Lonchura striata: one gene and its partner. The protein of the gene in region 2 interacts with the protein of the main gene of each other region in a pairwise test. Links are inferred from orthologs where the notes say so. Each region holds a gene or a part of one and is shown on either strand. Other genes may lie near its edges.

Evidence for each region. The genes of interacting proteins can lie anywhere in the genome.
Region 1: the proteins of PCSK5 (region 2) and NUFIP2 interact in binary tests that used the Homo sapiens proteins (3 or more experiments, as listed by UniProt). The two-hybrid records come from large-scale screens. The link is inferred for Lonchura striata from reciprocal best matches to the Homo sapiens genes PCSK5 and NUFIP2.

What each region holds. Positions count from the first base shown.
Region 1 is NC_134622.1:7,666,209-7,674,106, reverse strand, and holds the start of NUFIP2 (FMR1-interacting protein NUFIP2), read left to right. Parts: upstream 1-4,888; 5' UTR 4,889-4,965; coding exon 4,966-5,149; intron 5,150-7,898. UniProt on the Homo sapiens protein: Binds RNA.
Region 2 is NC_134642.1:69,633,202-69,640,320, forward strand, and holds the start of PCSK5 (proprotein convertase subtilisin/kexin type 5), read right to left. Parts: upstream 3,011-7,119; 5' UTR 2,474-3,010; coding exon 2,276-2,473; intron 1-2,275. UniProt on the Homo sapiens protein: Serine endoprotease that processes various proproteins by cleavage at paired basic amino acids, recognizing the RXXX[KR]R consensus motif. Likely functions in the constitutive and regulated secretory pathways.

The DNA.
Region 1 (7,898 bases), on a different chromosome or scaffold from region 2:
AGCAGTCACAGTAATAACTCAAACAATAACTGCTCCAGATCTGGTGTTCTGTCAGTGCTGAGCATTGTTAAATTGGAGATCCTGGGTGCAAACACAAGCAGAGGAGTCCCCATATACCAAATGCAGACATAGCCAACCCACATTTAAAAACTATTTTTTTTTAATTTCCTGTTTCAAAATAACTGTTTGGTGTCCAAATGGAATGAGAATGAAATGTGACTAGCAGCCTTGTGACTGTTGTGTTGTATAACAAGATAAAAAGTGCTTGGGATTTGTGGATTGAGCTTTTTTTCATTTGTCTTCCAGAGGTCAAAGTCCACTGCAAGCAGTGACCGATACAATTCCCTGTGTAAGTCAGGCTGGACTGCCTGTGCCTCAGGTTCTAACAGCAGGGGAGTTTGTGCAAGAGCACCTTGGTAGGTATTTGTCTGGATTTCTCTGTGGTCCCTGTGATGATCCTAGGAAGCAGGAGGAGATCCAGAATTGTCTGAGAGCCAGGATTCTCTGAAATCCCAGAGAAGTAATGATAAGAGTTGTGGCTGAGGCCAGCCTGCTAGCCTGCTTCCCATTCTGCTTCTTGTATGTGTCCAAGAAGCTGTCTCCAGTTTATACTGTTGCACTCTAGTAAACAATTTTGCATGCAGATATGGGCAGCAGATGTTACTCATGCCTGTGTGAACACTTCAGTGTTTTTACAACAGGGATGATCCTTGGATTGAGTCTTGTTAAACAATGGATGAACCCACCAGAAGTCCCACTGGTTACAGCCATTCTGTTACAGCTTGCTCAAAACACTTTGAAGGATGGTCACGCCATCCTTCTTTGGCCACTCAAGGGGATTGACTCACAAATACGAGCAAAATAAAATTAGATGGCTTAAGTGGCTGCAACCCCAGCTGTGTCCCCGCTGCCCAATTCCCAGAAGGTCATCCCTGCAGCCAGGCTGGCTGTGGAAGGCAACTCCTGAGCTGCTGTAGTGACAGCCCATTCTTCAGGGTGTTAAAATTTGTCTGGCTCCTCTGTGAAACAGTTTAGGAAGCTTAACCAGAATAAAAATGTGCACTTTTCCATCTGAAGAATTACTTTTTAGTTTAATTTCTCAAATGGGCTCTGAGAAGCAGCAGCGTTGCTGTGAGGGCAGGGCAGGGAGAGATGACCTTCCCTTTTGGGAGCAGCCATTACGTCAGTTTTGCTGCCTCACAAAACTATACCCTATGGTTATTTTTGGTGCTGGATTGCCTTAATTTTCTGGAGAGTGAATGAAGGATTAGCATAGTGTGCTTATGACATTTGGAAACTAAGCTTTTAGGAAAAAAATCATAATTCAGCATGTGCTGAGGTGGAAATGCTTAAATTGCTAAGGAAGGGAAGGATGAGTAAAATGTGAATTTTTTACAATTTTTACAATTCAGCTAGGAGGTTAAATCCTTTTATAATTTTTTGGGTTTTGCTGCTTTTTAAGACCTCTAACCCAATGCCTACTATCCAGCTGCCTCTAGAGAGAGAAGTCTTTAAAGAGACCAGCTTTGTACCTATAAATAATGTACACAGCAGAGTACAAAAATGGAGTCAAGGAGAAGCTCCTCCTTACCTGAATGTAACTGCAGCAGCTCTGTGAGAATAGCTGTGGTCAGGCTGTGAGCAGCTCTCCTACCCTGTCATCCATCTTGACTAAACTGCTTCTGAGAACTAATTCTGAGATTCCAACACTTGAATATCAACTGGTAAATCCCAACTGCCTTGTACTGAAACACATTATTTGCCAGCAGCCAAACGTGGCAAGGTTTTAAACAGTGTGGTTGTAATCCTGCTTGGAACTAAAGGTCTGCTGGAGTGCTTTAAGTTGGATGTGTTGGAATATGGAGAATTTTGCAAGTCTGAACCCCTGCTATAAATGAAAACACTGTGGCAAAAAATGTAAATAAATGCCACACATACTTTGTGTAAGAGCCCATCCCAATATCTATAAATATGGTAATTTTGGTGTTTCCCAATTCTGAGTTTTAAACAGGAGACAGACACATGAAATACTACAAAGCAAGCATTTTATTTTTTTCATGGATTAATTTTATAATTTCAGTTCTAATTTACCTGAAAATAATTAATGGGAACTAAATGTAGTTTTTAAAAGAGGTTTGCCTTTGAAAGGAAATAAATTGTTCTTGAAAAAATAACTTCAATAGCTTCTCAGTTTAACTGCATTTTAATATGAACACAAAATTTATCCCGGGTCAGACTCTGCAGGAAAACTTTCTCATGATTCTTGTAGCAGTTGATTCATTCCTTGCTGCCTTAATTTTCCAGCTTTAAATGGCAGGTTCTCTGCAAAGCCATCCACTTCAAAGCTTCATAAAACAGAGCTTTGAATAAATTACTGAGTTAGAAATTATACTGGCTGTGCCCAGCTTTGTGCCTGGATGTGGGAATACTTGGCACTGGGTGTGGAATTCCAAGGAAAATTGCCTCTTTGCTGGCTTGCCAAAGAGCAGTAAGAAGGAAAACTGCTGCAAATGAGCAGACACGGAAATCTCCAGCTTCCCTTTCCAGAGAACACATCCTGAAGAACTGTTGAATATTAATACACATTACAACTGGTGCAACAATGGGCAAACACTGGGATTAACAGAAACTACTGCTTCTGGAGGGGATGTGTCCCAGCATGGCCACAGGGCAACACTGCCTGCTGGAACTGCTCTTACCTTTAAAATGCATCCTTGTGGAATCAGTGGAAGTGGGGCAGGCCCACTGTGTGTGGACACACCATGTTGGGGTGCCAGGTGATGAACCCCAGGCTGTATTATTTTGGATTATTTTTCTCTCTTCTGCAAGCTTTAGATAATATAATACTGATAACATGATACTTCTAAGCAGTGACATAGTAGCTTTGTCTTTCACAAAGAGACAGCCCACCTTCCTCTGTATTCAGATTTCTGGTCTGTGTGTGTGGAGATGATTTGTCCATAATTGTTTGCTTTCCTCAGAGTCTTTTGAAGTTTAAATCTTCAAGCCAGCTCCCTATATTAAAAATAAATTCTTCCAAGCCACCAATAAAATGTCATCTGTGATTAAAGCCTGACTCCTCATTTTAAGACTTGTCTCTTAAGCACTCTGAGGTCACTGAATGAGTCAGCGTTTGAAAGGACCAGGACCGTTATTGTTTGAGTAAAGCCCAAAGTTCATCATTGCTTGCTTAAATAGTTTCATCAGTTTTAAATGGCTTTGCATTGTGCTGAAAGAAATGTAAACTGCAGGAATGATTTGGCAGAGAGCTTGTGATATTTCAGGCACCTCAAATCTTGAAAAAACCCTCTGTATTAATGTTGAAGTTGGTATTTCTGGTAAGGAAAAGCTTTACCTCCTATGTAGTAAAGAGGAGCGTGAAGTGGGAAGTTCTGTTTGAGGCATAAACTTTCAACTGTGTTCTCTTAAAATAAGGCTTGGGAACTGTAAAATCTCCAGACGAGGGCTCTTGTACAGTGCCAAAGTCTGACAGGGCTTTTCTAGACACATGAACTTTATTAATTTTGCTCATTAGAATAGTGAAAAAATAGAACAGAGCATTAAGCTGCAAGGAAAAGACTTGAGAAGCGAGTCCATACTATTTTCAGGACTATTTGTGGAGCCCATTTATATTACACACATTAATTGTGACAGTCTTTAATTACATGAACACATTTTATTTTGTCACTTTTCCTCCCTGTTTGCTGCAGTGCACACTATTGGGACTATTTGGGGGCCATTAATCACACCAGAGTAGCAAATAACTTGGAGCAGGACTCCGCCTCTGTCTCCAGCCCGTGTCAGTTGTGGGTCTCTCCATTCCCTCTGCCCTTTTCCTACATTCCTAATTAACTCCTGTCTCAGTTCCTCACTGATCCATACAACCCAAACCCCTTTGTCTCAGTGGTATCTGGAGAATTGGGCCTTGGTGTTGAGGAGGAATCCGGGAACAGCATTTGAATGTCTTGCTCTCCCTGCAGTGGAGGCTGGCTGGAGCAGAGGTGGGAGTTCAGGTCATTTAGCTGTCATCACCCCCTGCCGAACATGCTCAAGTGAGGATAATCAGAGATTGAAATGGTATGAAATCTGTTGCAAATTCTGTCAAGTTTCAAGAGTTCTCCTCCTTACACTCTCGGGCTTCCCCATCAACCTTTGATTTTTGTTAAGCATCAGTTAAATCTCCGGTGCTTCCCTCGGAGCTGGACAGGCGCATTTGTTGAGCCCACCTTTCTCGGGCTGGCCGGGTGCTGGGCACGGCCGGTGGTGGGTCCGTGCGGGGAGCGGCGGGTCCGCCCGCTTGGCTGCGGGTGGAGCCCTGGAGCCGGGTGAGCTCCGGCTGCCGCGGGAGCGCTGCAGCTCGGCCCGGCAGCGATTCGGGGCGCTGCTGCTGCCGGGCTCCGCGCTTCCCGCGGCTGCTGCTGGGAGCCCGGCTGCTCACGGTGTTCACATCCCTGCCCAGCTCCCCTCCGCTGGGGCTGTTCCAGCCCTCTCCGCCTGCCCCGGGTGGGGGGTTCACCCGCTTCATGACGGCAAAACGCGGCTTGGCGGCATCCCGGGCCGCCGTCCTGCCGGTGACCCTGCGGTGAAACCCCCCCGGGGCCGCACGCCGCTCCCCTCCGCTCCAACGGCGAGGACCGGGGACGGCGGCGACCCCGCCGCGGCCGCTCACTCTGGCTCCGCCGCGCTAGCACGGGGAGGGGGCGAAGCGCGCCCGCCCCCGGCAGCCTCACCTGCCGCCGGCCCGGGGAGGGGGCGGCCGGGCGGGCCCGCGCTGGCCGGGCCGGCTCTCCCCCGGCCGCGGTGCGGCGGGGCGGGGCGGGGGGCGGGCGCGGCGGCGCCGCTCGCTGATTGCAGGGCGGGCGCTGCCAGTCCGCCGCCTCCCCCGCGCCAGCCGCGTCCCCGCGCCGGAGCCGCACGGCCCAGCAGCGAGCGCCCAGCCCGGCCCGGCCCCGCCAGCCGCCCCCCATGGAGGAGCAGCCCCACCACCACCATCACCACCACCACTATTACTACTACGGGCACCACCACCACCACCCGCAGAGCGCCTACCTGCCGCCGCCCGACGGCCGAGCCCAGCCTAAGCCGCCGCTCCGCCACGAGCACAAGCACGGCGGCCCGCAGCACACGGAGGCGCCGAAGCGGAGACCAGGTTGGAGCGGGCAGCGGGACGGGGCCCGTGACCTTCGCGGGGCGGCGGCGGGGGCCCCCTCTCCTCCTCCTCCTCCGCCGCCGCCTCCCCCGGCCCGGCTCGAAGCTTCTCCGCCGCGCTGGGGCCGCTTCCTGTCCGCCATGTTGGGGCTGCGGAGCCGCGGGCCCGCCGGCACCGCCGCCCGCCGGCACGTGGGGCCGGGCCGCGCCGCCGCCGCCGGCCGGGCCCGGGGCCGCGGGGGCGGCCGGGCGATGGGGGAGCGCCGGGATCGATCCGTCAGAGCCGGCGGCGCGGCCCGGCCCGGCGCCGCCGGCGGGAGGCGGCGCGGCCCTGCCCGGCCCGGGCGCTCGGCCGCCTCCTCCCCGCCGGGCCGGGGCTGCGGCCCCCGGGCCGTGCCGGGCCGCCGCAGAGGCGGTGTCCGGTTAGCGGCGCGGGGGGAGCCGGTCCCTGGCAGGGCCGAGCCCCCGCCGCGTTCCTGCGGGCTCCCCGGCTCCAGCAGTCCCTCTGGGGGGGTTTGTGCGGGGTCAAGGCGAGTGCGTGGCCACCAGCCGGCCGGAGTGCCGCGTACAATTTTTTTTTTTTTTATTTCCCTTGAATTTTTCTTTTACATAACGAGGCGGGAGGTGGGAGGGGGCCTGGTAGCAGCGGAGCGGGGTCAGCAGTGCCCCATGTGCAGCCTGGGCAGGCAGGGAGGGACCTGATGGGGCACACGCCAAAATAAGTTACCGAGCAAAAATAAGTTGAGAAGTCATTTCACTGTTTGCAGCGTGCCCAGGGTTTTAATATGTGCCTAGGCTGGCACCCCTCCCTTTCCAGCTCTGAAACGGTTTGTGAGCTTGCCAGATCCTCTTCACCTGTTCTTCTTACCATCCTGGATTTTTTCCTCTCCCCTGAATTTTGGTTGCTGCACCTCCGTGTCCAGGCCAAGGCCAGCTGTGCCAAATGTTGATTTGGAGAAAACTCAGGCAGCTGAGCTGTGAATGCTTGAGAATTGGAACTAGAAACTGCTGACACACTGACTTAGTGAAATGGATTTTGTTCTTCATTTTATTCTTTCACTCCTCATCTGCAGTGGTCTTATGACCACTCTTTATTGTTTTGTTTCATTAACAAGTGGTGTCAGAAGTCTTGAGTCATACAAGGTCAGCTGTAACACTGTTCTTGAGAGGGCTTCCTCTTCATGCTATTCTGAAATACTAATTTTTTAGAGGATCCCGCCGTTCTAGTTCTCTCTGGGGCGAAGTATTTGCAGTTAATTTTCTTAACAACATATTTGAAAGTTATAGTGGAAGTTGTGGTGGTTACAGATACTTGCATGTAGTAAAATCCTTTTTGATCCCCCTCGGCAAACTCAGTTGTGGAATTTCTGTAAAGATTCCTACAAGGATTCTTGTGTTCCCGACTTGCACAGAACTTGAGCTGTTACATCTGCCAGACATCTGAGGCTCCAGGATGTGAGGGTAACAACGATTTTTAGTTACAGCAGTTAATTTCAACAACATCAGCAAACAACAAAAACATTCTTCTTCCAAGCTGGAGTTTTGCCCGCTCCAGTTGTTGAGGGACTCCCTCTCTGTGCTGACTCGGTGCCACCGTGGCTGCAGATGGAGCCTTAGGTGGGTCAGTGGTTGTGGGGGATGTGGATGTGAGGCTTTCCAGCCTCGGAAGGAGGAATGAGTCAGAGGAGCGGCGGGTGCAGGAGGAATCCCTCTGCAGCTGGAGTGTATTTGTCGAGCAGGGCACGGTGTGCTCTCCCTGTGTCCCACTGGGGCTCCAGGGCTTCCCTTGGGGTTTTAGCCAGGGTCCTCGAAAGCAGCAGGCCTCTGGCCAGAGATGCTTGAAAAGGAGAAAGCAAAGAGGAAGTTGGGGTGGTTCAGTGTGGACTGTCCTGGGCTTCCAGCTCTGCTTGAATTGCACTCTCCAGAACCATGAGGCCTGGAAGTGAACTTCAGAAGGGAAGAGTAAAGCTCAGTCTGCAGCACAATCTCATGGCTTTGTGAGTTGGAGCCCTCAGCAGGTGCTATATTTCTTGGGTCTCAGGCTCATACCAGCTCTCCTGGGGACTCTGAAATACAAGTTTTTTCAGTGGCCAAGAGATCCATTGGTGGTGGCAGCAGAAGGGCACTTGCAGGGATGCATTTCTTACTTCTGTCACTTTTCAGTGCCAAGGAACATGTGTAGGGAGGTGCTGGTCGCTATCTTAAAATGCAGGGAGGAGATGTGGCCACATTTTCTTTCCTCCATCTTCCAGCTGAACTTGCACGGGTCCTTTTGCAAATACTGTGCTTGTTTTTTTTTTCCCATCCCTTGACTGAGATGGCATTTGGGAGGAGGGTGGGAAGGAGGACTGCTGGTGTCGTGGGCCCAGGAGGTGATGGAGATGGTAGGAGTTGTCCCTTGTTCACAGTGTGTATCCTGAACCTCCACAGATCTTGTCAGAAAGGCAGTGGATCCCGCTGTCTTGAAGCATCCTGGGAATTAATTTTTTCCTCTCTCTGACCTGGAAATAGTAGCTGATGAAATAACTCTCCAGCTTGCCAGTGATTTTCAGTACAGTATATTTTTCTGGCATAGTATCTGTATTTTCTTTTGCTTTGTTATGTTATCTGTATGTCACTCAGTTATGCGAGAATCAGTCATGGCTGGTCCTTCTTTTTTAACCCTTCTTGCTGTGGGTTCCAGCAAATAAATTTATGCAGCTTTACCTCAGAGACTAGATATTTTCCTATTTTAAAATGTCTGCGTGAGG
Region 2 (7,119 bases):
ACTACTTATCTTTAATATTTTCAATAGGTTATTTTTCTGGATAATTTGTAAGTTAGTCCTTTGGACCAGCTGCAGTGGAATTTTGATTTAGCTTTTTTCACTTTCTTTATATAGATGAGCTCATAAATTTAATGTAACCAAAAATATTATGCCTATTCTATAACTCTATGAGAAAATTCTACTTATTGGTGTCTCTTATTTTCAGAGCATATTCAGCTAAGAAAATATCTTTCAACATCACACTCAAAATAAATTTTTTAATTACTTGCAATTGTTGCTCAATAATAACCAGCAGATTATTGCCCCATTCTGATCTTCTTTTTGCACTTCCTGTTTTGCATCAAGTATTTTCCTGCTTTTTCAGATCTATGAAGAAAGCTCGCTATGGACAAGTCCACCTCATCTGTCCAAACTGTTCCTGATTCCCTTTCTCCAAAAGTTAGTACCTTACTCCGTTTACCCATCTTTACCTAGAAACACAGTCTACTCTTTTTTTCATCCATATACCTAATAGAGCATTTTCCAATTTTCAGTTACTTATAGTCTCTATTTTCTCTCATTCTCATTTGTATACCTAATCTGTATACCTAATCTGTATTATCCATTACTGGTATTTTGTAATTGTATATAGACACTTTCACATAAGAAACAACAGAGGTTTACAACATTCTTTCCTTAATTCAAGACATGGCTTACATATGCAAAGTACAAAAAGGCAGGCTCTGAGCTAACCAGCCAGCCTGACAAAAGAAAAAATGGGGACAGGCGCATCCTGCAACCAATGGTTGCAAATTTTGCCACTATAAGGGCCCAGATAGGAATAAATCATCTTGAACAAAAAACATTCAAGACTAAAAAGAAAACCGATGCAAAAAATTTTGATTCCTAAACTGTAGTTCCAAAGTAGTACTTCACTTTTGACATGCAATCTTCCTCCCATATTTTAGTGCCTCCAGCTGGAAGTAGTACTGCCTGTCTGCTTACGTGAGAAGTTGATACTCTAAGTAACTGCGTCCTTACACATCACGTTTTGTGATACCCCAGTGACATTTTCCAGTTTTTCTCATGTAAATTATTTCTCTTAATTGACCAACCAGCTGTCTTTTTCAGGCTTGCAATTGATATGTACTTTAAACTTTTGATTCAATGATGTAGTAGGTGGGAATCCATTTTAAAACAAAATAATAATCAGGTCTTATTTTGGTTTGGTTGATATGAAACGCCTGGAGTGTAAACACAGATACGGTTTTGTAAATCTCATGTATAAAAGGAAGCCTTCTGTACCTGTAAATGTTCATTTCTAACCTTTCGATTCATGTAGAATAAACTACTGTCCAGAAAGAATGTACTTGGATGTTTGCACCCAAGCATGCAACAGAACATGCAAACAGTTTATTTTTTAGGCACTCACCTTGTAAACCCTACATATGCAACTTGGATTTTGAGAACAACTGCGAGGAAAGCCTAGAACACCGAGTATAAACTCCTTAAGAAAAAGTGAAGTTAGGATATTTTAAAAAGAACTGTGCCTAATTGTAGAAGTGGGGCATTTTCCATTCCAGTGAGAACCAGGTGTTTGCTAACTTTCAGTTTCCTAACCTGCCTGGATACAAGAATTTTCTGACGTGGTGACGTCTGGATCTAGCCAAGTCCAGGTGTGCCCTGGCCCCAGCAGCGTGCTCTCCTTCCCCACGGAGCGCCGCGGGCAGCCGCACGCGCGGCAGCCGCCCCGGGACACGCCGCCACCGCCTCCTTCCGCACGCCCCGCCAGCGCGGGGGTCGGGACTCAGCGCGCTGCGGCGAGCCGGCGGCCGCGGCTGCCACGTCCTGGCTGCCGGCTCGTCTCGTACCGGCTCTTTTCAGCTCGGAGAGGCGACTCGCCGAGAGGCTGTCCGCCGCGGAGCGCAAAGTTCAGCCGCAGCGAGGCGGAGCGCAGAGCCGCGGCGGGACGCCCCCCGCCGATGCCCTCCCCCTCCCGCCCCGCAGGCGGCTCCCTGGCCCGCGCCCCGTTTCACACCTGGCTTCGAAGGGGAAGGCCACGACCCCGAGCTCCCCGGCATACCTGTCCCCGCGCATCACCTCACGGGGCCCGCGGCGGGGAGCCGGGCGGCTCCGCGGACCGCCCCGCGGCGGCGGCGGGGCCTGCGGCGGGGCCGTGCCCGGGCAGCAGCCGCGGGGCCTCCCGTCCCTCGCCCTCGCCCTCGTCCCTGCCCCGGCGGCGCAGGGCGGCCGCAGCGCCGGTTGCCCGCTGGGAAGGAGTTGTGACCAGCGTTACCTGTCCTATATTGACGTATCCGTATTTGCTCGCTATCCTGTTGGCCTCCGGGAGCCCCCCGGTTATCCGCACAGCCCAGTGGTTGGTGTAGAGGCGCGTCCTGCAGGCGGGCAGCAGGAATCCCAGCACCAGGGTGAGCCGGCACAGAAGGTCCCCGCCGCCTCCGCCTCCCCAGCAACAGCGGCGCTTCCAGCCCATCTTCTCCTCCGCAGGCAGCCCCCACTAAACTCCTTCCTTCTTCCGAGGCCCTTGTCCTCCCCTCCGGGCCGCTCCGGCGGTACGTCCTCCGAAGTTAGCCCGAGGAAGAAACTAGGAAGAGCTTGGAGTAGTGCATTGAACCGCCCGGGGCTTAAATGATGAGGGGTTGGGAATAGTGCTTCTGATCAGTGATTACTGCTGTGCCCTCTTCCCGCCGCTCTCCCCGGATTAAGTAACTTGCTTGTGAGAGCTTCTCTCACTGTTCCTGAGCGCCAGCTTCTCCCTCTATCCCTAGCTACATGGGAAGTCGTCTCTCCGCGGGGAGGAGGGGTCCTTATCCCTCTCCCTCCGTTTCCCTCCTCTCTGACTTCCTTCCCTCTGCCAGCGGTCTTCTGCCTCCTCTCCCGCGTCTGGCTTTTCTTCGCCTCTACTCGCTCCCTCTCTCCGGAGCCCGGGAGCAGCGCGGCTGCGGCGGCAGGCGATGTGTGAGTGTTGGCAGCTTCGAGCCTCAGTGCGCTCCGACTCGACGACCTCCCTCTCCCCTCCCTCCTCCTTCTCCTCCGCCTCCTCTCCCCGCCCTCAATCCCTCAGCGCCGAAGGCCAGGGGAAATGGCAGCCGTGTCGGCGCCGGGTTACCTCCCTCTTTGCGCTCCGGGGCCCCGGGCTACCGCTGGTCTCGCCAGCCGCCGCCCCCGGCGCTGTCTCCGCGCCCCCGCCGGGCCGGGCGGCCGCCGCGCCGCCAGCGGGGCTGCAGCGGGCGCGGCGAGGCGAGGCCTGCGGAAGGGCCTTGTGCTCTGCACCGGCGGCAAAGGGCGCCCGGGGCGAGGGGGGGCCGCGGGACAGCCCCGGCTGCTCCGGCTCTGCCCCGGCCTGCCTGCCCAGGAGAAGCTGCTGGGCTGCCGGGCGGGACGGGAACAGCCCCACGGCTGCCTCTCCGGCAGGCGCCGTGTGCCCGTTTGCTGGCCGCACATCGTACGCATCGCACGTCGTCGTTTAATGCAGCCCGTCTGTCCGTGGTCACCACCTTCGAAAAGAAAAGGGGGTGGCTGCTGCTTTGGCAGAGGAGCAGTGGTCCAGACCCAGACAGAGAAGGCAGAGCTCCCACTGCTCCCTCATCCATGTAGCTATGTATGTAGCGTTGCTACAGATCTGCAGCTTGCTTCCATAAGCAGAGCACCTCTGGGCCCAGAGAAGATGCTGCTAATCATCAGCAGCTGTCCCAGGCTAGTGCCTGGCTGGGGTGGGAGAAAGCTCATGTCCACTCCATCCCAAGCTTGTTGTTTAATGGTCTAAGCATTTGAGTCACCATAATAGCTTTGGACTACCTGTAGATCTACTTTGTTTTGCTTGAAAGTTGAAATAATCGGTCCAACAGACCTACTGTGAAGATCTGTTGCAAGTTTTGAAGGAATTTGGACAAGAGAAGTAACATTGCAATGCACTAATGTAAATCTGTGAATTTTCTCTGAGGAAAATAATGTCAGCAAAGGTGACAGTAGGCAAAAGTCAGGCAGCTGTCACTTTCCCTGAAGTATGAGAAATTAAATGCTTTACAGAAGATCATAGAATAACATGGAGCTCCTTTTCAACTCCATGAAAACCTACATCTCTACCTTTAAAGCAGCTGTTTCCCTTGAAAAGTAGAAATAGAAAGCCATGTTTTCCAATTCCGGTGATTCTCTGCTTTATGTTCATTAATTTTTTCCCTTACATATGGGTATTATACTGGTGATTAATGTCTTCCCACATCTTTTGATAGTTTTTAAAAAATAGAAAGAAGGAAAATGCATCCTTTGCTTCCCTGTTTGTTTGATGTCTCCAATAATTTATTTTCCAGAGATTGCTTCTTCTATGTATTTTCTTTTGTAGTTTGTATGATCATTTTCTCAGTATATTCAAATGTACTGTTAAGTTCTGTTCGTACATTTAAGAATTCATGGGAACTTGCCTTTCCTAGGATTTCACAGATGGTGGCTTACTGTTGAGCAAATTGTTCCTCTGTTGAAACTGCAGCCAGCACTCATTCAATTCAGCAGGCCCTTGTATGAATTGTAGCTGTTAGGACCAAGCAATTACACCTTGTTGCTATGTGTATTCAAAAATACACATTCCTTGAATATGACATTAAATATCCCTCAGCAATTAGCCTTAGCAATGCAGCAATTAGCCCTCCTAATTCATTGGTTCAATGATAATTACACAAGTCAGCTCTTATCCAATATCTGCTTATTATGCTTAATCATTAATATCTGCTCTATAGAAGTGAATAGCAATCAATGGGTCACAACACCTGAATCTTATGCAACCCCAGTTTGTTTTTCTGAAGATAATAAATTGAAAAATTTTTTTCTGGTCTTTTCTCAGATAATCTTACTATTGTTTTGACTGCCATATTTTTTGCTACAGATAATGGACAAAAGGTGCACACTACAAAGAAAATCCATACTGTCATGTACTTACTTCCAACTTGTCTCACTTGATGGTGTTTTATACAAAGCACCGAAGTCACTAGGAATCAGTTGATTTGATAAATACATCATTGTCTGTAAGTATCTTTTCATAAAGCTGCATCATATTGCACAGTATAACAAAAATGTTGTGAAAATTGTACTATACATAAAAACAGCCTCTGGAAGAGGCGGGGTGTAGTCCCCAGAGACATTTTTTTCTGTGATTATAGTCCTCTTTGCTGAGGCCACTGTGTTAGATGGCAATTATAGCTAGTGTGGCAACATTTGGACATTGGTTGCGCTGTGAAATATTTGAGTGTGTTTCAATATGAACTCCAGACTGTAAAGTTTTGCTGAATACCTCATCAAAGCAAAATCCCTAGGGACTTCACTCCTTACACCCCCTCAAAAAAAAAAAAAAAAAAAAAAAAAGGAAAAAAGAGGTGAGAACCCCTGCCATGCCGTATTCTGTTCCTTTCTGAAAGAGCCAGGCATTTCATATACCAGGGGAGTGGAGAGACTGAGGGGGCTGAGGCAGCAGTGTGGGAGTTTTATTCAGTGTACCTGCTATATGTGGACTGTATGTAGCTGGTAGCTGGGCTTGCTTTTGAGCTCTGTGGGAGACCTGATAACTTGTCTCTCTGTACACCACTGGAAAAGTTTTTATCTCCTCTTGGTAAGGGCACTAATTTGATCCATTTTATCACTATTGTTACACTGGTGCCTCTTGTTAACAGACACACACACACACCTCTCCACCCCCTTCTTGCCTCTCTTTTATGACAAAAGTCAGTATCTGCCTGACTGCTCAAAATGCAAATTTCCACAGGTCTCTCTCTTGTCCTTTACTTATTGATAATAATCCATTAATCCCTCCTCTATTGTTAATTCCAAATGATAGCAATCCAGAATCTGACCTCAGTGGCTGTTCTCACTTCTCTCTTATGTGCTCTAATTGCCTCTTGTTTTGCTGTTTTGCCTACCTAGTCCAGAAATTATTCTTTCCTTTCTAGTTCTTTCTCAGCCTGAAAATCCCTCTGGCTCACCAGCTTCAGCAGCCTTTTTACTGTGTTGTCCTTTATGTCAGCTTTCTAGCACTCCTGTATGTTTTGCAGATCAGTGCTCCAGAGATGTGTTAGCCACCCCAGAGTCATAATTAAGGAGGAAATCACATAGAAAATATAAATTTAAGCAAAGTGGTAGCTCAGTGTCTTATAGGAAGAAGTAATGCAAGCAGATGTGCTGGTCCCTGAAGACACTCCAGAACACAGTCTATTTTAAGACTAAACTGGGAATATATGTTCATCAGCCTTTGAGAGGGAGAGTCTGGGCCATAGTAGATGAAACAAAGGAAACATCCGAAGAGTGGAGGTTGTGTCAAGGACTTGTTTAGAGGTTGACTTAGAAAGATGGATAGTTTTGGAATCCAAAGGAGAATTTAGATTTCCTCAGTTTCAAGCATAACTGTTTTTACTTGTTTTTATAAACAGTACAGCTAGGTCACTTGACACCAGCCACCATATGATCCAATTTGCTGGTATACAGTTCTTTGATCTCCAGTTTTCCATGCTTAAGGCTTGCCTCTGATTTTACATATTTTAACATTTTGAATATAACTAAGTTTTGGGGTTTTTAGTTTGGTTTTTAATAAAACACTGGTTTTCCATATAATTAAGTACATTAACAGGTTTGTTCCTGATAAATACCTGTCTCTTTATGCTTTGAAGCAGGGTATGTATTTTGAGTACTTCACTGTTCTCATGAAAAGTCACCTATGTTGGTCCAATTTTTGCATGAGAGTTTTCACCTGTACATTAGACACTTTTTTTACATTCAGCAGCCAATTTGTTGAGATTGCTCACTCCTCTCACTAGGATACCTCTCACTCTCCCAGTGTGTAGACTATAGGGTCTGTATATCTAACCCTGTATGCAGTCCACAGCAAAGTATGACCTCTTATTTCTCTTCCCACTTCTTGTTGGTCACGATGGGAGTGAACATGCTAATTGACAGTAGACTTTAATTAACTTTCTGGAAATACCAAGGAGGCAAGCCTTTTGTCCTGAATGTAGAGGAGATAAGAGACAGGACAGGTAAAGGTATTCAAGTGGGGTAAAGAAGCTGGGGTGGCACAAAGGAATGAACAGAAGGAAATTGGAATGGGTATTTGGCTTTGTCAGGGTGTGCTCCAACCCA